Linked DNA regions of Anolis sagrei. The main gene of each other region encodes a partner of the protein of the gene in region 2 in a complex. Links are inferred from orthologs where the notes say so. Each region holds a gene or a part of one and is shown on either strand. Other genes may lie near its edges.

Region 1 (8,701 bases), on a different chromosome or scaffold from region 2:
CTTCTTAAGAAGTCACACTCTGCCTTTTCATGCATGTTTCTCAAGTCTTTCTGAAAGCTTACTTCCCAGTAAGGATGCTAATAAACATTAATTAGTAACATCCATACTCAGTGTGCAACTTGCAGTCTTCCAAATATTCTAGGACTGCAATTCTCATCAGGCTTACCTAGCATCATTAATAGTTAAAGGATAGGAGTTGCAACAACACTTAGGGCCCTTCCACACAGCCCTATATTCCAGAATATCAAGGCAGAAAATCCCACATTATCTGAGTGTGGACTCAGACAACTCAGTTCAAAACAGATATTCTGGGACATAGGGCTGTGGGAGCTGGAAGAGTATAGAGAAGTTGATGCACATTTCTCATGCACGGCTTTGACTCTTTGAGAGTTTAAAGCATCACTGCATCCTGAAGCTCTCTTTTGAACATTCATATGACAGCCACATCTTCAGGAATTTAGTTTGTGTTTCACCCAGTATCTCCCTTTTCTGAGGGAAACACACTTGTGTTGCACAGGCAAAAGAAGGAGCTCACCTCACACCACTCCACATTCCCCACGTATAATTTTCTTTTCCTGTATTCTGTGAATATTCGTTATGCCCAGGGAAAGGAAAATAAGGGGGAGGAGGAGAACACACAGAAAGAGGAAGAGCCAGATCCACTGGGACTGATTTCTCCTTCCATCTCTCCCATGTTTCTGATCTGCCCAGTATATTCTCCCTTTACCTGGACAATAGACTTGCACCATAGAGGAAGGGTGGGATCTCAGCATTGGTGCCCTATTTCCCTTCCCTATTAAAGATGTTGACTTTTTTCCACTTTCGCTGTTTCCCTAAGTCCCATATAAGTAGAGGGATGACTCTACTTATTTTAAAACAAACTTCCCAAAAGTCAGTAGAACTTCAAAAGAAAAAAGCATGCAATAGGTACAGAATGAAGCACCCAACTCCTGCTCCCCATTCCACAGGGTAAAGTAGTACAGGTTGAGCATCTGCTAACTGAAATGCTTGGGGACAGAAGTGTTTTGAGAAAACCTGTATTCCCACAATAATATATACTAGTTTTAAATGCTTGCTTATGTTTATTTTATGGATTGCTTATTATGTTTTACATTTGTGTCACTGACTGTTGCGTATTTACTATTGTATTTTATTTTACTGCATGTTAACATGTTGGGTCCCTTCGTGGGAGAAAAGTGGGATATACATAAAGATGTATTATTATTATTATTATTTGCAAGTATGTATATTATAAGACATCCTAGGAATGGGTCTAAACATGAAATTCACTTATGTTTCATATATACCTCTTATTTCTAGTTTGAATGTATTTTATACACAATATTTCAAATAGTGTTTTCTATGATGGTTGTGTGTACTAAAAGGCTATCACTATCTCTGCCAGCCATGTGGACAATTTCAAAGTATTTTGTATTCTGAAAGTCTATGTTGATTTGTCTTCTAAGACCCCTCCTGCACAGCTGTATAAAATCCAGATTATCTGCTTCAAATTTTTGGTTGTTGTTTTTGCTGCAACATAGGGCCCTTCCACACAGCCATATAACCCAGAATATCAAGGAAGAATAACCCACAATATTCCTTTGAACTGGGCTATCTGAGTCCACACTTCCATATATCCCAGTTCAAAGCAAATATTGTTAGATTTTATTCAGCTGTGTGGAAGGGACTTTAGGCACCCTTCTACACAGCTGTAAAAAATCAAGATTATGTACTTTGAGCTGGATTATATTAGTGTAGCCTGAGGCTTGTTCCACGCAGCTGAATAAAATCCCACATTATCTGTTTTGGATATATGGCAGTGTGGACTCAGATAACCCATTTCAAAGCAGATATTATGGGATTTTTCTACCTTGATATTCAGAGTTATATGGCTGTGTGGAAGGGCCCTAAATGTTGTCGTGTCGGTCAAAAATCTTCACTTTTGAAGGATTTAAATGCATACATGGAATATAACAAAATACAAGTAAACATACTGATCAAATACCACAAAGCTTTAAGGTCAGGAACAAGTACCTTCCAGGGCCCACCTACACTGTAAAATGAATGCACCTCACTACCTCTCAGGATGCTTGCCATAGATGCAGGCGAAACGTCAGCAGAAAATGCCTCTAGAACATGGCCATATAACCCGAAAAAACCTACAACAACCCAAAATGAATGCAGTTTGACAACTTCGAGGAATGATGTTCACTCCTCGAAGGCACACCAGAACTGCCAGGGCTCAATGCTATGGAATCCTGAGACTTGTAGTTTGGTGAGGCACCCATAGCAAACGACCTTGTTAAACTACAAGTCCCATGATTCCACAGCATTGGAATCACGCCCTTTATACACCTCCTGTCACATCAGCACTTTTAATCTTTGTACCCACCTTCTGGCCCGGCCCAGTTTTATTGTGTTTTAGTGTATTGTGCCTGTGGTTTACTTTGCTTTTCTGTTTTTAATTGATTTGCTTAGATTGTATTGTTATGTTGTGTGTAGAGGCCTTGGCCTGTGTAAGCCGCATCGAATCCTTCGGGAGATGCTAGCGGGGTACAAATAAAGTTTAATAATAATAATGGAGCCAGGGCTGTTCACGTGCAGACGTGTCCTCGATTCGGGTAAACAGCGAGGGAGACTCGACCTCACGTTCTCAACAATGAACTTCTCTAACTTCCGGTCTTACAGCGCCAAGTCCAGCCAGAAAATAGGAGCTCGGCTCCGCCCCCAGGTCCCCTGCTCCCTCATTCGCTCTGCCATCTGCCCATCACTTCTCGCCTAACCGTTGGTGAGATTAAATCCCCACAGAAGAGGGAGAAGCCCACCTGGGGCAACTGGGCCACCGATTGGACGGCTCCCTCCTGACGCCATCACGAAGGCCAACCCGCATTGGCTGAGAGCACAAGGCCCGCCTCCCTTTCTGGTTGGCTTAAAGGGCCTCCCGGGCCCGCCTCCCTCCCGCCCTCCCTCGGCCCCTACCTGGCAACTCCCGCATCAGGTAGAAGGGCCCACTGGCGGCCGCGGCCTTGCGCGCCGCCTCTTCTCCGATGGGAGCCACGGCCGGCACGGGAGAGGGCCCCGTCACGGGCCCGCCCGCTTTCCCCGGGCCGAAGCCCAGCGCAGCAGCCGCAACTGGCGGAGGAGGTTCGCTCGCCCCGAAGAGAGCGGAAAAATTCTCCATCATCCCGGCGTGCTTCGCGCAGTCTCCACCTATTGGCTCCGCGTCTTGGCAATCCCATGCGCTTGCCCCGATTTCATTGGCGGTCTCTGAACCCGCCTCCTAGCTATGATTGGCTAGCTCCCCTGGAAACCCGACTTTGCTCTGATTGGGTGGTTCCAACACTTCCCCTTGATGCAATTTTACGGGGCGCCGAAACGTCAATAGAATGCGCCGGAGAGAGGCGCTCTTGTTTATAGTCTCCGTAGCCGTTGGTGTGTGCGGAGTTGGCCAATCGAAGCGCTAGGTGTCACCTTTAGAACCGCCCTTTTTGGATTGACGCGTCCGTCGACCAATGAGTGTCAAAGAACGGTCTAAGCGGCGACCTGTTGGCGCGCGGTGCGGCGATTCGGTCAGTGGGAGGTGAAGATGGCGGTGCTGGCGCCCCTCCTGGCGCTCTTCTACTCCGTGCCGGGGATCTGCCGCTGGCTCGCCCAGCCCTACTACCCGCTCTCGCTCCTGCTCTCGGCGGCCTTCCTGCTGGTGCGGAAAGTGCCGCCGCTGTGCCATGGGCTGCCCTCCCAGCGCGAGGACGGGAACCCCTGCGACTTCGACTGGGTGAGGCCCTCCCCCAGGCCCCTTCAGGCGGACGGGCCTTCTCCTTCGCGCCTCGCCCTTCAGGCGGAGACTGCACGGCGACAAGCTTCGCTTCCCCACGCGGAATGGATCCTCCCGCCCCCCAATCATCATCATAATAATCATAATAATAATAAACAACAAAGCAAAACGAATACAACATACAATACATAAAATAATACATAAAATAAAGTACAATAAAATACATGGAAAGAAAGAAGGAGAATAATATAAAATAAACACAGGGTACAACAAAATAAGCAAAGACATTAAGCCGATGGACAGGGCCAAGTACAACGGGTAGGACTGTAAAACCCTGGGTGAGGTGGATAAGTAGGGTGATGCATCTGGTGGGGTTCGGATGGGACAACCAATGGGAATTAATTTCAACTAAAGGGTAAGATACTGTGCGTCAAAGTACAGAGTTGGTTAAGGTATGGGAATTTGATGTTCATTCCTCGAAGGCACACCGGAACAACCAAGGCTTTAGGCTCTTCCTGAAGGCTGCCAGGGTGGGCATTTGTCTAATCTCTCTGGGTAGAGAGTTCCAAAGTCGAGGGGCCACCACAGAGAAGACCCTCTCCCTCGTCCCCTTTTGTTCTTATTCCTATTGGATAATCACTGGTCACATAATCAAATGGAGGATTATGACCTGTTAGGGTCATTACTTATTGGATTCTGACCCATTGGGAAAACTGTAATATGTATGTCTTTTAAGAAAAAAAAATGGTATTCACATATATTTATACTTGGCAATCGATTTTTCAGTTGTTAGACCAGGCATGGGCTAACTTTCTAACTTGGGGATGGGTGGGCCAGAAGGGAGGGGGTTCTCCCCAAGTCCCTTTTCCGCCCCTTCCTCTTCTCTTTCAGAGAAGTGAAGGAATGACGGGAAACGTTTAGCTCTCAAAAGTGTTGGCCTTATCAGGATGAAAGGGTGGATGGAACAGAAAAAGTGTATCCATTAGATCCCATATTAACTACTCCTGATTAAAATCCAAGATATAATTAGACAAGACATTAGACTTCAATTATAGTTGTCAAGATTATCAAATTGACATACACGAGCATCTTTGTATATTATGTCCCCTCAATGTCCTCTCATATATAAAAACAGGATTTTGTGGCATAGTTTTTAAAAACCTTACTAACTGACCTAAATCATGACCTGAATCTGAATTCCTATATTACATTACTATATTTTTAAGTTAAGCCAAATTGATCCTGTTTAATTGCTCTGTTTCCATGCTATTTCCTATGCTACTATATGTTTCTATCCACCTATTATATCACCCTATCCATTAACCAGTTTGCATAGTGACTTCCTCCCCCCCCCTCCAAATTTATTATTATTTATGCTGTTTTATGCAATTTTAACTTGTTATTGTACTGTTTTTAATTGTATATTGCCTTGGGCTTGGCCCCATGTAAGCTGCCCCGAGTCCCTTCGGGGAGATGGAGGCTGGGTAGAAAAATAAAGTTCTTTTTCTTCCTCCAATTGTGTTATTAGATCAGAAAATATGAATATTTGTTAACCAGCTAGAAAGCAAAACTTAAATGACATAATTTTTGTCTGCCATTAAATGTTTTGCCTATTTTATGGTAAAACAACTTCTATAGACCCGTATTCATACTGCCTTTCAATATATTGTCTGTCTTTTAGCGGGAGGTAGAGATTCTGATGTTTCTCAGTGCGATTGTGATGATGAAGAACCGCAGATCCAGTGAGTAATACTTGTGTGTGTTTGTGTGCACTTTCAAGTTGTATATCAACTTAAAACACCGCATGAATTTGGGAAGGTTTTTCTGACAAAGCAAGACTTGGAGAAAGCTCGGCTAGTTCCCTCCTCTGAAATATAGCCCGAAGAACCTGGCATTCCTTGTTTGTTGATTAACTTCCAAAATCAGAAAGGATCCTATGGCTTCAATATATTTAACTCCTAGTAATATTTGCATTTGTTATTTATTGTTCCCTGGAGTAAGATACTCCGTTGCAACAGAGAGTTTACAGTGAATTTTTTTCCAAAGAGTTTTTACCTGTATTAAAGGCTTTTTCTTTCTTCTTAAAAAAGTTGGCTATGTCCATTCAGTGCACACAATCGCTAATCAAGGATGAGATATGTGTGTAATTTTATGAGATGAGATAATCTCCATACAGTAAATCAACACAGAAACTAAAGTTTCTAAGTTGCTAGTTATTCTGCATTAGATATATTATTAGTGAGGTCCCCTGTACATTCTTTTCAGAGGAGTGTCTTTGAAACATGCTTGCTGTTTCTTTTGTTTCTGACATCTTATCTGTGATAGCTAGATAAGGTAGCCAGAAGGCAAAGTTTTCATGAACCAATGCTTAGTGCATTATGGAACGGGTCAAATGAAAGACGTCCTGAAGCTGATAGAGAATAGTAAAGACAGAAACTGCGTGGAAAATTAAATGAAATAGAAGTAGCTGAAAAGAGTGAAATAACCTCTTTGTATGAAAATAACCTGCCAGTAAGTCCACTCAAATGATCCTAATTGTTTAATAATAATAATAATAATAATAATAATAATAAGTACAGTGCCTAGCAACTTTGGCCTGCACTTAAACACTATTGGCACTGACAAAATTACCATCAGCCGTCTGAAAAAGGCTACTGGGATTTGCATGCATTTATTCGCCAATACATCACACAGTCCTAGACACTTAGGAAGTGTCCGATGTGGATCCAATACAACAGCCAGCAGAGTGATCTTGTTTGCTGTGGACTCACTTTGTTGTGTTTCAAATAATAATAAAACTTTATTTATATTCTGCCCTATTTCCCCTGGGGGAGATAGGGTTTTTATATTTCCCTGAAGGAAATATAAAAACTTATCAAAAAGGTATTTAACACAAGAGGGTAAATTGCTAAGAGTACAGCAATTGCATGACATCCTTAAAGTATTTATATAATTTGAGATTCAAAATGAAAATAATATACGAGTCACCTTGCAGATACCTTTCACGAAATACAATAAGATGGCTCTCAACTCAGATTATTGAGGGTTTTCGCTTGCTATAGGATGGGATGAAGACACCACATTGGTTACACATGCCTTCTCAAGCTACTTTTTGCCAGCCGTAAACCATCACTGCAGGTGGGGAAGTGGTTGTTCAGAATTAGAATACTGCTTCTGAAAGCACCAAACAAGTCCTGTGTTTTTGTTGTTTTATAAATCTGCAATTAAAGTAATGGTCACTTTCAATTGACTTTCTTTTAAAAGCAATTCATTGGGAGTAGCCTATAGCAGGCCCTAGGGGAAAACCTGTTCTTTGGACATGGCAGATATGTCCATCCCTACTGTAGTCTATACAGGACTAACAGATGATGCAGATACCTGAGCTAACCATCTGTTTTGTGTGTTTGTTTTTCAAGTTACTGTGGACCAGCATGTGGGAAATATCTTTATGTTCAGCAAAGTGGCCAACGTCATCCTTTTTTTCCGCCTTGACATCCGGATGGGGTTGCTTTACCTCACACTCTGTATAGGTGAGACCTCTAGAGTTGGTTATGGAAGGATAGTTTCTGTAGATCTTTAGACACTAGGAGAAATGGGACTTTAGATACAGACTTCCTCTTGCCTTTTTGCACTTTTGCACCTTTGGAGTTGGATTTTGTGCACCGTGATATGCATTCTCCACAAAAAAAAAAATCATAATTGGGTGAATTTTTCCCTAAAATATCATTCTGCCTTTTATAGAGTTGGAAGTGGCTACAAGGGCCATATAGTCCAACCCCCTGTAATGCAGGAGTACACAATTAAGCACCCCTGAAAGAGATCCTTCATCCTCCAAGGTAGTCCATTGCATATCAATTTCTCCCTAATGTTTAGGTAGGATATTTTGTCTTCTATTTTGAATCTATTGTTTTGTGTTGTAGTCTCTGGAGCATCTTAAAGCTAGCTTATTTCACAATCTACATGGTATTCATTCAGATATTTAAGCCTAGCTACCAGGCCACCTCTCGGTCTTCTCTAAAAGCTGGACATCATCAACCCTCATAAGACTTAGTTTCCAGATCTTTGATCATTTTGATCACTCTTCTAGTTCACATTTTTATTGGTTATTGCAAAGCAAACGTTTCCCACTCCCTCTGTTTGAATTAATCCGATAATAGTATATGTGCCGTTACGCCCAGACGCTTTAAAATAAAACTTTGACGTGCTGCTATCTATGTCTGGGCGAAACTGCTGAGGTCTTTCTTTAGGCAGATTGAGCTTTCTGGAATAACTGAGTCCACTTCAATTCTAAACAATAAACAGGGTATTTATTCACGAAGTCCTGGTAGACTTGGCTCAGCTTATCAATACTACAAAACAATCAATGAATAATAAATTCCATCTATATTAATAAACTCTATCTATATTCAGTTAAACTCAATTACTCTATCTATATCTATCTATCTATCTATCTATCTATCTATAGGTCTCAATTAAACTAAATTAATCTATTACACTAAATTACTCAATAAATCTATCTATAACTAAATTAAACTCAATTGTTTTTACAATGATATTTTCTGAGGTACCTGTCTGCCAACAGCACATCATGGATTCTTCCTAAAACTGAAGGGGCAGGGAGACCTCCAAAATGGCTGCTTCTATCCTGGAAAAAGGGGCGGGCCCAAAGAGCTACTCTTTGGCCAATTATTGCAGAGGGCCTGCAAACTGGCTTTCCTGCCTCTGGCTGCTAACTTTTTAGGCCTTTGCAGAGGCTGCAGAGGCCTAGGAGAAAGGCAAGGGGCAACCAATTTAAGCAACCCAAAAAGACAATAAACCCAGTCTCCTGGGAGACGGAACAGTATAAATAGTATAAATCTTTCTCCAGTTTGCTTCATGGGGATCTCTTCCACTGTTGTCATTTTGCCTTTGACAGCTGAATGCTCT
Region 2 (8,317 bases):
ACTACAACTCCCAAATAACAAAATCATAATTTTTGAGTGATGGTCACTCCTTGTGTTGTGAGATGTTTTGTTGCCAAATTTGGTGTGATTTCGTTCATTGATTCTTTTGTTTTAAAGGTACTCATTATGCACAGAGCATTTTTATATATATAGATGGACATTTTAAAAAGCTAGTAAGTCAGATTTCATACCAAATGCACTCATGCATAAGTGCATACATCAACCAGTCTGAAATTAACCCGTGACCCTTCAGTTCCTGGCCATTTTCATTCAACTTCAATTAATCTGAGTGTGACGACAGTTGCTTTTCAAACTAAAAGCATGGCCTAACCAAGCCACCAGTAGCCACATCTGCAACCCAGAAATTATAAAGTTACATGGTAAAATTAGTAAGGAAGCAAGTATCAACAACAGGGCTTTCACATAATTCCATTCGAGAGGGAAATGTTGCTGATCGTGCAAAAATGAAAAAACTAGAAATAAATTGGTAAAATGTCATCTACTATTGTTTTATTGTCTTATGGACATTTGGTCCCATGTAAGCCACCCTGAGTCCCTTTGAGGAAATGGTGGCGGGGTATAAGAATAAAGTTATTATTATTATTATTATTATTATTATTATTTACTTTTTTAAAGGATGGAAAAACCTCTATTTTGTATGACATCATACAGAAATATACCAATAAGAACGTCTACAAACACAAAAGCATTGTTGCTTGAGATAAAAAGCATTCAGAAATATACACTAGATATGGAGAGCAGCTTTCTACCTTCAGTTTCAGGACCCCCTCAAATCTCAAATGCAACATGGGACTCTCACAATGTTTTACCCTATCCTTTTGTACTAATTCTCCCCATCCCGCTTTTTTGTATTAAAAGGGAAAGCAGCTTTATGGGACCACAGCAGTTCGGCCCCTCCTTCCCAAACCCACCCCACAAAGAATCCATTGCTCTGGATGCTCCGTTTTGGCTGACACTAGGCTCTACTTAGGATGATCTGTGCTATTAGTTATCATAGTTGATCTGGACAAAACAATGCCCTAAATAAACCCACTCAACAGGAGGCCCAGGAAGCAAAAAGATGCAACCCCAGCCCTCTTTTCCCTCTGCCTGCTAGAGAAGGAGAACAGTGAAAGCATGTTCAGAGAAGCATTGTTGGCCTGCCTCAAGTTGGGCTGACCTTCTTTGAAAAGATCCCTAGGTACAGCTGACCCTGGCAGCACCATTCAAACCAAGCACAGAAGGAAAGTTGTCCATTGCCAGCCCTGAGGACTACTGTGGAACTCATCACTTGGATTTCCAGCCTGCTGAGAACCTACTTGTACTAACAGCAAGAGCAAGTAAAAGGGGTGCCCCACGTGCAAATCCTGCTCACGTTGCCACAACTCTGGAAAGGAGGCAGGCAGGCAGGCAGAAAAGAAAGAAAGAAAGAAGTCTGGGTCTCAAGAGAGATGTTCTCTGTCTATCTATCTACACACACACATACATGCAAAAGGAAGGAGGGATTCAAGAGAGATGTTCACTCCATATGAACATGTAAACATACTTACACAAGTGAAAGAGAGAAAACAAGACAGAAAGAAGCTAAGGGCTCAGGAAAATGGTTCTCTCTGTGTATACCTGTAAATATACATATGCACATAAGTAAGGAAGGAAGGAAGGAAGGAAGGAAGGAAGGAAGGACTCACTCCATAGTACCTGTGGACAATACATTTGACATGTGAAAGGGAGGAAGGAAGGAGTGAGTGAGGGGCTCAAGAGAGATGTTTTCTCTGGTAACATACATACGATTACACACACACAACAGCACATCAGAAAGAAAGTAAAGGCTCCAGAGAGATGTTCTCTCCTGAACACTGAGTTCCAATGGGAAAGGAGGTTGGTTGACACTCCTTCCCAGGGACCTTCCACACAGCCATAGAACCCAGGATATCAAGGCAGAAAATCCCAAAATATCTTCTTTAAACTGGGTTATCTGAGTCCACGCTGCCATATATTCCAGTTCAAAGCAGTTATTGTGGGATTTTCTGCCTTGATATCCTGGGTTCTATGGCTGTGTGGAAGGGCCCCAAATCCCTTTTGGGGGAGGAAGATGGAATAGAAGAGGGGAACCATTGGCTGGAAAGCACTGTGAGCAGGGAAGGAGAAGGGAGGCTAAAACGTGAGAGAGGAAGCCAGGGTTGGCCCCAACTTTGGGCATGCTTCCCATGCATTAGAGGCTGGTGGGCTCCAAGGCAGAGAAGGCAAAGCATGGGAAGACCAGGAAAGGGGGGGTCAGACCACAAAGGAGGGGCGCTGTGCCGGAGAAAGACTGGATCGACCCTGTTCTAGGGACCCTTCCACACAGCCATATAACCCAGATTACCAAGGTAAATAGTCCACAAGATCTGCTTTGAACTGGGTTATCTAAGGGCCCTTCCACACAGCCATATAAACCAGAATATCAAGGTAGAAAATCTCACAAGATCTGCTTTGAACTGGATTGTCAAAGGGTCCTTCCACACAGCCATATAACCCAGAATACCAAGGCACATAATCCACAAGATCAGTTTTGAACTGGGTTATCTAAGGACCCTTCCACACAGCCATATAACCCAGAATATCAAGACAGAAAAAAGTCCCACAATATCTCCTTTGAACTGGTTTATCTGAGGCCGCTTCCACACAGCTGAATAAAATCCCCCATTTTCTGCTTTGAACTGGAATATAAGCCAGTGTAGACTCAGATAACCCAGTTCAAAGCAGATCTTGTGGGATTTTTTGCCTTGAGATACTGGGTTACATGGCTGTCTGGAAGGGCACGCTGCCATATATTCCAGTCGAAAGCAGATAATATGGGATTTTATTCGGCTGTGTGGAAGGGGTCGGAAAAAGGCTGGATCGACCCTGCTCCAGGAGGCAGTTTCGGAATGCAGAGAGAACTGCATCCAACTGGATTACAGGAGTGTCTCCACGCTGCTTCTTCAACTGTCCCGACCCCAAATATTTGGGGGGGGGGGTCCCTGAGCTCAATGTTAGGGAGGCGATACAATGGGCAGCAGCAAGGCTTCTGAAGAGATCGAGAAGTGCTGAGTGTACAGTGGACTCTGCAGAAGATGCTTCACAGAGACACACAAAAAAGGGGGATGGGGGTGGGATCAGCCTGTCTCAGCAAAGACAGCAAAGGCTGGTTTGGGCTCCTTGGTTCCTCTCGGTGTTCCATATCCCGGGGGCCAGAGGCGCATTTCTCCGCACGGAAGGGGCGGCGAGTGGGGAAAAGTTGGGAGTCTGCACAGCAGTTGAAGAGGGCACCCTAGGCAGGGCATGTGAGGGCTGGAAGGGCCAAAGAAGGCAGTGAGTCCCCTTCCCTTCTCCTTGGGCTTCCCTTTCCCCTCGGCTTCTTTCCCTCACCAGCGAGAAGAGGTTGGCGTGACAGTCCTCCAGGCTCGCCCCGTTCGCCAGCCCGCTCATGGTCCTCCTCCTCCTTCTCCTCCTCCGCCGGCAGAGCGGGGCATGTCGGAGCGGGCCTGAGGCGAGAGCGGCTCCAGGCCCAAGCCGGGACTGCTTCCGTTGGCGACGGCAACCGCTTCCCTCAAGCAGCGCCGCCGCCGCCGCCGCCGCGTTCGGTTCTTTTCTTCCTTTCCCTCCCTCCCTCCCCCTCCCTCCCTCCCTCCTCCTCCTCCTCCTCCTTCTCCTCCTCCTTCGTCACCCGGCCGCCTCTTTCCCTCCCTTCTCCTCACGCACTCGCCGCCGCTCTGACAGCCATGGCGGCCGCGCCACAGGAGCGCCGCGCCCCCTCATTGGCCCAGCCCTCGCCACGTGGTACGCTCTGCCCGGCCCAAAGGAGAACTCCACCGCTGGCCGTTCCCTCGCTTTTTTTTCTCTCCTCCTGAGGCGCGCGCCTTCCAATTCCCTTCCCCGCCGGTGGGGGCGCTGTGCAACTGGGGGGGGGGGGTTAGCCAGACACACTGGCAGGACTGGGCTTTTGCAAGACTTTGGCATTGCATTGTCACCCCCCCCCCTCCAGCTGCAAGGAGAGACTGGTGGGGACAAGGAACAGGGCCTTCTCAGTGGTGGCCCCTCGACTATGGAACTCCCTCCCTCCCCAATGCTATTAGATAGCTTCCTCCCTCCTGCTTTCAGAAAGTCAAAATCAGGCTGTGGAATCAAGTGTTTGGGGAGTTGCACAACCACAGTACAAACTCTAAAATTACTACAGCAAAACAGCAGAGAGGAAACAACCAGGCACATCTTAACACCTCTCAACAGAACATTTTCCCAGGCTCAGCCAGGCCTTCAAATGCTTATGAAGGTGGTCAGCTGAAACATTCACACCTAGCTTCAGCAGAGAGCTCTTTGCCCCACCCCAGTCATTCCACAGATATATAAACCCATTTTCCTATTTCCAACAGACCTCACTACCTCTGAGGATGCTTGCCACAGATGCAGGCGAAACGTCAGGAGAAATGTCTCTAGAACATGGCCCTATAGACCGAAAAAACCCACAAGAACCTACAGTACAAAATGTTTATTTGAATATGTGGCATTGAATATTGCCGAACGGTAAGCCACTCTGAGTCCCCTTCAGGGTGAGAGAGAGCAAGATTTTTATTTATTTATTTATTTGAGAAACTACAAGTCACTTCTGGTGTGAGAGAATTGGCCGTCTGCATGGACGTTGCCCAGGGGAGACCCAGATGTTTGACGTTTTACCATCCTTTTTTTTTAATTTCTCTTTTTTATTATTATTCTTTTTTTTTCAACACAAAAATAGTACCATCACATACTATCATTGTTAGAAATTCAGTTGCTAAATTACATTATGAATACATATCACATATCACATATTGTTTTCCTAATGCTCTTATCTGTCTCCCCTTCACCTTACCTTTGTGTCTGACAGTTTTACCCCCCTCCTCCCCACCCCCTTCAGGGAACAGTATTCACCTTAATTCAGATCTTAATTTAATTGAACAACTGTAAAAAGAGAATGGTTTAGCACATTATATCTTTCTTTTCCTTCCACTTTTTCGATCAGTCTTTCCCATTTCTGCACCCAAGTTTTCTTAAATCGGCATGTTGTGTATTTGCTTCTTTTTTCATGGATATAATCCTGAAGCATTTATTCTGCTAAATACTCATAGCATTTTTAACCTCCCATTTTCTATAATCTTTCCACCCCAATGCCACAGTTGCTTCGGCAGCTAATACCATTATTTTACAATTGCCTCCCAGGCTTTGATATTATCTTTTTTGTCAAATTTCGGTGTAAAAAATCCTATTTTACCAACCTTGTGGGAGGTTTCTCTCATGTTCCTGCATGGGGAGCTGGAGCTGACAGAGGGAACTCATCCGCACTCTCCCCGGATTCGAACCTCCTACCTGTCCTCCCAGCAGAAGGGTTTAACCCAATGGTTCCCAACTTTCCTGATGCTGCGGCCCCTTAATACAGTTCCTCATGTTGTGGTGACCCCCAACCATAAAATTATTTCCATTGCTACATCATAACTGTCATTTTGCTACCGTTATGAATCGTAATGTAAATATCTGATGTGCAGATGTATTTTCATTCACTGGACCAAATTTGGCACAAATACCCGATACACCCAAATTTGAATACTGGTGGGGTTGGGGAAGGTTAATTTTGTCATTTGGGAATTATAGTTGCTGGGATTTATAGTTAACCTACAATCAAAGCACACTCTGAACTCCACCAACAATGGAGTTGAACCAAACTTGGTACAAATAACTCCCCTGACCAACAGAAAATACTGGAAAGGTTTGGTGGGCATTGACCTTGAATTCTGGTGTTGTAGTTCACCTACATCCAGAGAACACTGTGGACTAAATAATGATGGATCTGGACCAAACTTGGCATGAATACTCAGTATGCCCAAATGTGAGCAGTGGTGGAGTTTGGAGAAAATAGACTTGACATTTGGGAGTTGTAGTTGCTTACAATCAACATTCTGAGCCCCACCAACGATATATTGGGCCAAACTTCCAGGGGCGGCTCAACCCATTATGCAAAGTAAGCATTTGCAGTATAGTTGATTTTGCCCAGGGGCGCTCTTGAGGCGCTCTTGGGGGAAATAGACCTTGACATATGCGAGTTGTAGTTACTGGGATGTATAGTTTACCTACAATCAAAAAGCATTCTGAACTCCACCAATGATGGAATTGAACCAAATATGGCATGCAGAACTCCCACAACGAACAGAAAATACATATCAGTGATTGGTTTGGGGGGGGGGGGAGGCACCACAATACTGTTTGCTTACCGTTGAAAATTACTCTGCAAACTTCCCACACAGAACCCCCATGACCAATAGAACATACTGTGTTTTCTGATGGTCTTTGGCGACCCCTCTGACACCCCCCTCACAACCCCCAGGGGTCCCGACACCCCATGTTGAGAAACACTGGTTCAACCCATTGCGCCAACGGGGATCTCCAGTAGAGAGTGGGATAGAAATATAGTAAATAAATATGTCACTGCAAAGTTAATACAAACAAATTGGCTTGGACTATGACTATGGAATTAGATGCTATGGTTTTAATCAGTTATTTCAATGTATTTATATGGTCCATTATGCTTTTAACATTTAATGTGTTGTATATTTATCTGCTTTTATGTTGCTATGTGGCATTGAATCATTGCCAAACTGGAAGCCGCTCTGAGTCCCCTTCGGGGTGGTGATAGAGCAGGATAAAAATACAGTAAATAAATAAATTAAAAGAACGCTTCTTTAGGGTAGACCATTATTTTGCCTCCTCCATCTACTTTTCCTGCCCTGAAACTCCACATAGAAACTAATGGTTTTCTAGGAGGGTCTAGATGGTTTTTGTAAAATCGTAGTCCTGGGTGGTATGGTAGATTTTGTGCAGCATTTTCCTATGTTGCACCGTGTCATAGGCTGCTGTAAGGTCCACAAAAACTGCTCCCGTAATGCTACCTTTCTCATAGCCTTCCTTGATATATTCGGTCAGGTTAAGAATTTGAGCTGTACAGTTTTTTCCCTGGTCTGAAGCCTGCTTGTTGATGAAGACTCTAAGATCTCTTTCACGTGTTGTGGAGCCAGGTGTCACCCATCCTGTATCTGTGCATCTTGTTTTTTTCTGCCTAAGTGAAGTGTCCTACATTTCTCTCTTTGTTGAAATTCATTCTGTTAGTTTTGGCCAATCGGCTCTCTCATCATTTAAAGTTGTTTTGAATTCTGATCCTGTCCTCTGGAGTAATCACTCTCTGTCCTCCTTTGATACTATCTGCAAACTTGATCATCATGCCCTCTAAACCTTCGTCCAAGTCATTAACTGAACAGCCCTGAAAGGCCCAGGACAGAACCCTCTCTATGGCACTCTACTACTCACTTCATTCCAAGATGAAGGGGAACCATTGGGGAGCACCCTTTGGGTTCAGTCGCTTCACCAGTTACAAATCCATCTCACAGTAGTATTTTCTAGCCCACATTTCACGAGCATGGAAGTCCTGAAACCTAACCCCAATGCATTCTCAGACCCCAATGGAGAGATAGGGACCATATTACTGTATTTCCCCGAAAATAAGACCAGGACGTAAATTAATTTTTTGCTCCAAAAGATGCATTTGGGCTTTTTTCCATCTAAATTTTAAGCATAAATTTTAAACTCATGCCTTGTGTTTAATCTCTGTTCTGTGTATTTTAACATGCATTTTATAGAAATACATTTTCATGTGTGTATTTATACAATTTTCACAATGTTTATGTGTTTTAATTATACTGTAACCCACCTCAAGCCATGAGGAGAGGTGGGTGAGAAATAAAATTATTATTATTATTATTATTATTATTATTATTATTATTATTATTAATGCACAAAAGCCTATATTTATTCAAATACAGTTATGCCATCTTCTTCTGGAACGTCATCACAATATGATATCAAGAATATTATTTATATTTCATTATATATTAATATAATGTGTTGCAACTGACGTACTAAATGTGTCTGTCTGCCTAACGACCTGAACTGGGGTTTATTTTTTGAGGCTAGGGCTCATATTTCAAGCATCCTGAAAAATCATAGGTAAAGGTAAAGGTTTTCCCATGGCATTAAGTCCAGTCGTGTCCAACTCTGGGGGTTGGTGCTCATCTCCATTTCTAAGCCAAAGAGCCAGTGTTGTCCATAGACTCCTCCAAGGCCATGTGGCCAGCATGTTACCTTCCCGCCAGAGTGGTACCTATTGATCTACAAACATTTGCATGTTTTCAAACTGCTAGGTTGACAGAAGCTGGGGCTAACAGCAGGAGCTCACGCCTCTCCCTGGATTCGAACCTGCAGCCTTTCAGTCAGCAAG
Region 3 (7,899 bases), on a different chromosome or scaffold from region 2:
TGGAAAGCTTTGGGAGAAATTCACCTTCATTTATACGAGTTATAGGTACTGGGATTTATAGTTCACCTGCAATCAAAGAGCACTCTGAACCCCACCAATTATGGACCTGGAACTAATTTGGCATACAGAATCTTCATGATCAACAAAAAATACTGGAAGTCTTTGTATGGCTTTATAGGAGTTGTAGTTCACCTACATCCAGAGAGCACTGTGAACCCAAACAATGATGGATCTGGACCAAACTTAGTACACATACCTTATATGCCCAAATTAGAATACTGGTGGGTTTTGGGAGGACTTGTAGGTGCTTGGATTTATAGTTTACCTTCAACTAAAGAGCACTCTGAACCCCACCAAAAAGAGAATTGGACCAAACTTGGCACACAGAACCCGAATTACCATCAAAAAATATGGGAGGTCTTTGGAGAAAATTCATCTTGATTTGAGGGAGTTGTAGTTCACCTAATTTAGAGAGCACTGTGAACCCAAACACCAATGGATCTGGACCAACCTTGGCACGCATACCTGATACGGCCAAATTTGATTCCTGGAGGGGTTTAGGGGAGGATAGACCTTGAATTTTGGGAGTTGTAGTTCACCTACAACCAGAGAAACTGTGATCCCCCCACCGACAACGGACCTGAATCAAACTTGACACACAGAACCCCTATGACCAACTGAATATACTGGAGGGGTTTGCGGGAAACTGACCATAATTTCTGGGAGTTGTAGTTCACCTACAACCAGAGACACTGTGACCACCAGTGACAATAAACTGGGACCAAACTTGACACACAGACGAATTGAACCAACTGTGGGGTTTTGAGAGGATTGACTTATCATGGTGGGAGTTGTAGTTTACCCTGCAGCCAAAGAACACACTGAACCCCACTGATGGTACATATGGAGCAAACTTGCCCAACATAACAAACCTGAAGTACTGATGGAGTTTCAGGGGGTTAACCTGGCACGATGGGAGTTGTAGTTCACCCACAACCTTATGCATATTGGACAATTAAAAATCTGACTTTTTCAAATAGCCTGGGCAACACCAAGTACACAGGCTAGTGTGTGTGTGTATGTGTGTATATATCTTGTATATATATCTTTGGGGAAGAATTCGCTTGTTGTACCTCTACATTGTCACTTTTTTGTACACATGTATTTTATACTGTGGTCAACAGTGCTGGCATGCCCGCATGTTGTTGATTCTATAACAGAGTTAGGAGCCAATAGGAATTTGAACAAGGATCACAATTGGCCCCCAGACCGGGCTTTGGACATGCCTGGCAGTCTTTCTCCCATTAAGGTCATACCTGAACATTAAGAAGAACGTTTCGTTGGAAAGAAGAGCTGTTCGGCACTGGAGTCTCTGTCACAGAGTCCCCTTCTCTGGAGGCTTTGAAGCAGAGGCTGGACGGCTGGACGGCTTTGAAGCAGAGGCTTTGACTGTGCCCTCCTCCATAGTAGAATGGGGTTGGACTGGATAGCCCTTGGGGGTTCCTTCCAACTAGAGGATCTCAGAATTCCATAGCCATACTTCTCCATAAACTTGCTAATATCTCTGAGGTTAAATGGCCACGGGTCGGGAGGGATGGCATCTTCCTTCAATAATAATAATAATAATAATAATATTAATAATAATAATAATAATTGCACACATTATTCGCCGATACATCACACAGTCCTAGACACTTGTGAAGTGTCCGATGTGTGATCCAATTCAACCGCCAGCAGAGTGTCTGCTGTGGTCTCATTTAGTTTTGTTTCAAATAATAATAATAATAATAATAATTATTATTATTATTATTATTATTAATATAATAGTAATATTATTTTCTTTCCTGGAAGAGTGGGTTGGACTGGATGGCCCTCGGGGTCCCTTTCAATTCTAGGAGAATAATAATAATAATAATAATAATAATAATAATGGATAATATAATAGTAAAGGTAAAGGTTTCCCCCTGACATTAAGTCCAGCCATGTCCGACTCTGGGGGTTGGTGCTCAACTTCCTTTCTAAGCCGAAAAGTCGGCGTTGTCTGTAGACACCTCCAAGGTCATATGGCCGGCATGACTGCATGGAGCACCGTTACCTTTCCACAGAAGCGGTACCTATTGATCTACTCACATTTGTATATTTTCAAACTGTTAGGATGGCAGAAGTTGGGGCTGACAGCGGGAGCTCACGCCCCTCCCCAGATTTGAACCTGTGACCTTTTGGTCGCAGTAATTCAATAATAATAACAGATAATATTAAATAGTAATTGTATCTTCCTGTCTGGCAGAGGGGGGATAGACTGCATGGCCCTTTGGAGTCCCTTCCAACTCCAGGAGTTTAATAATAATTACATAATAGACAATAATATAATAGTAATCCAATAATAATAATTGATAATAATGAATGATAATATAATAATAATTCTATTTTCCTTCCTGGCAGAAAGGGGTAGGACTGCATGGCCCTTTGGGGTCCCAACTTTAGGAGTCTAATAATAATAATTATATAATGAATAATAATATAATAGTAATCCAATAATAATAGTAATTATTATTATTATTATTATTATTATTATTTATGGCTTGTAGGTTTTTTCGGGCTATATGGCCATGTTCTAGAGGCATTCTCTCCTGATGTTTTGTCTACATCTATGGCAAGCGTCCTCAGAGGTTGTGAGGTCCCAACCTCTAAGGACACTTGCAATAGATGCAGGCGAAGCATCAGGAGGGAATGCCTCTAGAACATGGCCATATAGCCCGAAAAAATCTACAACAACCCAGTGATTCCAGCCATGAAAGCCTTCGACAATACGGTAATAATTTATAATAGTGAATAATAATATAAGAGTAATTCTATTTTCCTTCCTGGCAGATGGGGGAACTGCATGGCCCTTGGGGGATCCCTTCCAACTCCAGGAGTCTAATGATGATAATGCAGGGGTCCTCAAACTTTTAAAACAGAGGGCCAGGTCACAGTCCCCCAAACTGTTGGAGGGCCAGATTATAATTTGAAAAAAACATGAATGAATTCCTTTGCACACTGTATATATCTTATTTGTAGTGCAAAAAACAGTTAAAAACAATACAATAATTTTAAAAAATAATTAAAACGAACATTTTAAACAAATTTTAACAAATTTTAACAAATGTAGTATTTCAGTGGGAAGTGTGGGCCTGCTTTTGGCTGATGAGATAGGGTTGTTGTTGTGTGCTTTCAAGTCGTTTCAGACTTGGGTTGACCCTGAGCGAGGGCCAGGTAAATGACCTTGGAGGGCCGTATTCGGACCCCGGGCCTTAGTTTGAGGACCTCTGATATAATGGATAATAATATAATAGTAATCCAATAATAATAATAATAAGATAATTAAGAATACTAATATAATAGTAATTCTATTTTCCTTCCTGGCAGAAGGGGTTGGACTGCATGGCCCTTGGGGGTCCCTTCCAACTCTAGGTGTCTGATAGGCCTTTGATCTTTGATATTACTGTCTTTAAAATTTTTTTTAAATTGTTTTTAAATTGTGTTAGATTTTAGCCTGTTCTTGTAAGCCGCTCCGAGCTCCAGGGGAGTGGCGGCATATAAGTTTGAATAATAAATAAATTAAATAAAATTAATAATAATAATAACAGTAAAATAATTTTAAAAATTAATGGATAATATGCTTGGCAGAAGTGCATTGGACTGGATAGCCCTTTGGGGATCCCTTCCATCTCTAGAAGTCTAATAATGATGATGATGCATAGATAATAATATTATCTTTCTGCTCCTCCCTTCCAACTCTAGGATACAAAGATTCTAGGATAGGCCGGATGGCCATCTGTTGAGAGGGGTCGGATCGTGTCTTCAATGGCAGGATGGGGTTGGGCTGAATGACCTTCCAATTATAGGATTCTATCTACTTATCTATTTATCTATTAGGGGTTGGGCTGGATGCCCTTAGGGAGTCCCAATTATAGGATTCTATCTATCTATTTATCTATTAAGGGTTGGACTGGATGGCCTTTGTGGGTCCCTTCCAACTCTAGGATTCTATCTATCTACTTATCTATTTATCTACTAGGGGTTGGACTGGATGGCCTTTGTGGGTCCCTTCCAACTCTAAGATTCTATCTATCTACTTATCTATCCTTTAGGGGTTGGACTGGATGGCCTTTTTGGGTCCCTTCCAACTCTAGGATTCTATCTATCTACTTATCTATTTATCCTTTAGGGGTTGGACTGGATGGCCTTTGTGGGTCCCTTCCAACTCTATAGTTCTCTATCTATGTTTCATTCCATACAAATCTATCTCCTTCTCTGCAGGCTTTCAAGCTGAGGCTGAGTGGCCCTCTGTCGAGAGGGATTAGATGGTGCCTTCAATGCCTCGACTAGATGGTTTTGGGTTCCTCTTGACGGCCTCCTTGGACGCTTCAGGACCATAATGCAGACGGGGAGGGAGTGGGGAGAGCCAGTCCCGCTTCAAAAAGCAAAGGAAGACAAGGCCTCTCCGTTGCCTAGGCGACGACAACATGGCCGCCCTCCTCCTCTCCCTCCAAGAGCGCAGGTCCGGGGGGCGGGGCCTAAACCCGCCAATGGGAGGCCTTACTTTCGGAGAGGGCGCCGTCGCCATGGATACCGGACCCTCGAGTGCGCAGGCGCGGGGGGCTCCAGCCGCCATATTTTTGCGGCCTAGCGTTCGGAAGGCAGGCCTCTTCTCGGCGTCGCCATGGAGACCGGTGAGACTAGCACGGGGAAAGGGCTTCCTGGGGATTGTGGGAATGGCGCCTCATTGACCTTCCTTCCTTGTGGTTTTGTTCCTAGAGGACGGCGGGAACCGCCTGCGCTTCCAGATGGAGCTGGAGTTCGTGCAGTGCCTGGCCAACCCCAACTACCTCAACTGTGAGTCCCATTGGTACCCACTGAAGGAGGAATGAATAGGTTCTTGTGGGTTTTTTCGGGCTATAGAGCCATGGTCTAGAGGCATTCTCTCCTGACGTTTCGCCTGCATCTATGGCAAGCATCCTCAGAGGTAGTGAGGTCTGTTGGAAATAGGAAAATGGGTTTATATATCTGTGGAATGGCTGGGGTGGGGCAAGGAGCTCTTCTCTGCTAGAGCTAGGTGTGAATGTTTCAACTGACCACCTTCATTAGCATTTGAAGGATTGCCTGAGCCTGGGAAAATCTCCTGCTGAATCTCCCAGGCTCAGGCAGGCCTTCAAATGCTAATGAAGGTGGTCAGTTGAAACATTCACACCTAGCTCCAGCAGAGAAGAGTTCTTTGCTCCACCCTGGTCATTCCACAGATATATAAACCCTTTTTCCCAGTTCGAACAGACCTCACTACCTCTGAGGATGCTTGCCATAGATGCAGGCGAAACGTCAGGAGAAATGCCTCTAGAACATGGCCATATAGCCCGAAAAAACCCACAAGAACCTAGTGATTCCAGCCATGAAAGCCTTAGACAATACGAGGAATGAATAGGTGAATTAATCAAGCAAGGCCAAGCTGTACTCTCCCAGGAGATTGGCTTGCTAGATAATCAGTGGCGCAGGTGGATGGGAACACGTTGTTCCCTCCCCTTGGGCCTGGTCAAGAACTGGCCATTGTGTCTGACTTGATTTGTGTTCCTTTTCCTCCTTCCAGTTCTGGCCCAGAGGGGCTTCTTCAAGGACAAGGCCTTTGCCAATTACCTCAAGTACCTGCTGTACTGGAAGGAGCCCGACTACGCCAAGTTCCTCAAGTAAGAGCCTTTCTTTGGCAGGAAACATTGTGATCATGTTTATTGACACCCAGCTTATTCTTTCGAATCTGGGGAGAGGCGGATGAGCTCCCTCTATCGCAGTGTTTCTCAACCTGGGGGTCGGGACCCCTAGAGAGGTCGCCAAGGGGTGCCAGAGGGGTCACCAAAGACCATCAGAAAACACAGTATTTTCTATGGGTCATGGGGGTTCTGTGTGGGAAGTTTAGCCCAATTCTATCATTGGTGGGGTTCAGAATGCTTTTTGATTGTAGGTGAACTATAAATCCCAGAAAACTACAACTCCCAGATATCAATGCCTATTTTCCCCAAACTCCACCAGTGTTCACATTTAGCATACTGAGTATTTGTGCCAAGTTTGGTCCAGATATAGTGCTCTCTGTAGGTGAACTACAACTCCCAAACTCAAGGTCAAATGCCCACCAAACTCTTCCAGTGTTTTCTGTTGGTCATGGGCATTCTGTATGCCAAGTTTGGTTCAATTCCATCGTTGGTGGAGTTCAGAATACTCTTTGATTGTAGGTGAACCATGAATCCCAACAACTACAACTCCCAAATTATGTTTCATAACAGGAGTAAAATTACAGTTATGAAGTAGCAAAAAAATAATAATATTATGGTTGGGGGTCACCACAACATGAGGAACTGTATTAAAGGGTCGTGGCATTAGGAAGGTTGAGAAACATTGCTCTATCGACTCCAGCTCCTCATACGGGGACATGAGAGAAGCCTCCCACAAGGATGATAAAAACATCAAATCATCCGGGTGTCCCCTGGGCAACGTCCTTGCAGACGGCCAATTCTCTCACAGCAAAAGTGACTTGCAATTTCTCAAGTCGCTCCTGACAAGAAAAAAAAAAAAGCTTATTCTTTCCATAAGGGACTCAAAGCATGACGGCTTCAAACTACAAGAAAGGAGATTCCATCTGAACATGAGGAAGAACTTCCTGACTGTGAGAGCCGTTCAGCAGTGGAACTCTCTGCCTTGGAGTGTGGTGGAGGCTGCTTCTTTGGAGGTTTTTAAACAGAGGCTAGATGGCCATCTGTCAGGGGTGCTTTGAATGCAATATTCCTGCTTCTTGGCAGAATGGGGTTGGACTGGATGGCTTATGAGGTCTCTTCCAACTCTATGATTCTATGGCACAATCTGAAATACACAAATATTAAACAGTATTAAACATCATTAGAGAGGATTGATGGAGATACGGAGTCACATTAATGCCTATATTATTATAATTATATTATTATATTATATATTATTAAATGTGACTAGATCCCAGTGGGAAGTTAACCACGTTCCATGCAGTCATGCTGGCCACATGACCTTGGAGGTGTCTACAGACAATGCTGGCTCTTCGGCTTAGAAATGGAGATGAGCACCAACCCCAGAGTTGGACACAACTGGACTTAATGTCAAGGGACAACCTTTACCTATATATTATTATATTATATTATATTATCAAGCCCTGTTGTACTGGAAGGAGCCCGGCTACACCAAGTTCCTCAAGTAAGAGCCTTTCTTTAGCAGGAAACATTGTGATCATGTTTGTCGACACCCAGCTTATTCTTTCCATAAGGGGACTCAAAGCATGACAACACAATCTGAAATACACAAATATCAAAAAAGTATTAAACATCATTAGAGAGGTTTGATGGAAATACGGAGTCACATTCATGCCTATATTATTATAATTATATTATTATATTATTTATTATAAAATGTGGGTAGATCAATAGGTACCACTCCAGTGGGGAGTTAACAGCGTTCATAGAATCAAAGAGTTGGAAGAGACCTCATGGGCCATCCAGTCCAACCCCCTGCCAAGAAGTAGGAATATTGCATTCAAATCACCCCTGACAGATGGCCATCCAGCCTCTGTTTAAAAGCTTCAGAAGGGAGGCCTCTTCTCGGTATTCCAAAGAAGGAGCCTCCACCACACTCCGGGGCAGAGAGTTCCACTGCTGAATGGCGCTCACAGTCAGGAAGTTCTTCCTCATATTCAGATGGAATCTCCTCTCTTGTAGTTTGAAGCCATTGTTCCTCGTCCTAGTCTCCAGGGAAGAAGAAAACAAGCTTGCTCACTCCTCCCTGTGGCTTCCTCTCACTGTTCCATTCAGTCATGCTGGCCACATGACCTTGGAGGTGTCTATGGACAATGCT

Evidence for each region. Proteins that work in one complex are often made in the same cells at the same time.
Region 1: MED13L (region 2) and MED19 share a complex: the UniProt entries of both Homo sapiens proteins name them as parts of the mediator complex. The link is inferred for Anolis sagrei from reciprocal best matches to the Homo sapiens genes MED13L and MED19.
Region 3: MED13L (region 2) and MED31 share a complex: the UniProt entries of both Homo sapiens proteins name them as parts of the mediator complex. The link is inferred for Anolis sagrei from reciprocal best matches to the Homo sapiens genes MED13L and MED31.

The regions. Positions count from the first base shown.
Region 1 is NC_090021.1:234,311,332-234,320,032, forward strand, and holds the start of MED19 (mediator of RNA polymerase II transcription subunit 19), read right to left. Parts: upstream 3,282-8,701; 5' UTR 3,185-3,281; coding exon 2,980-3,184; intron 1-2,979. Other genes in the region: TMX2 (thioredoxin-related transmembrane protein 2), read left to right, coding at 3,587-3,775, 5,457-5,517, 7,192-7,305. UniProt on the Homo sapiens protein: Component of the Mediator complex, a coactivator involved in the regulated transcription of nearly all RNA polymerase II-dependent genes.
Region 2 is NC_090034.1:43,698,089-43,706,405, reverse strand, and holds the start of MED13L (mediator of RNA polymerase II transcription subunit 13-like), read right to left. Parts: upstream 3,608-8,317; 5' UTR 3,451-3,607; coding exon 3,391-3,450; intron 1-3,390. UniProt on the Homo sapiens protein: Component of the Mediator complex, a coactivator involved in the regulated transcription of nearly all RNA polymerase II-dependent genes.
Region 3 is NC_090031.1:29,644,748-29,652,646, forward strand, and holds the start of MED31 (mediator of RNA polymerase II transcription subunit 31), read left to right. Parts: upstream 1-4,618; 5' UTR 4,619-4,705; coding exon 4,706-4,715; intron 4,716-4,800; coding exon 4,801-4,878; intron 4,879-5,623; coding exon 5,624-5,720; intron 5,721-7,899. UniProt on the Homo sapiens protein: Component of the Mediator complex, a coactivator involved in the regulated transcription of nearly all RNA polymerase II-dependent genes.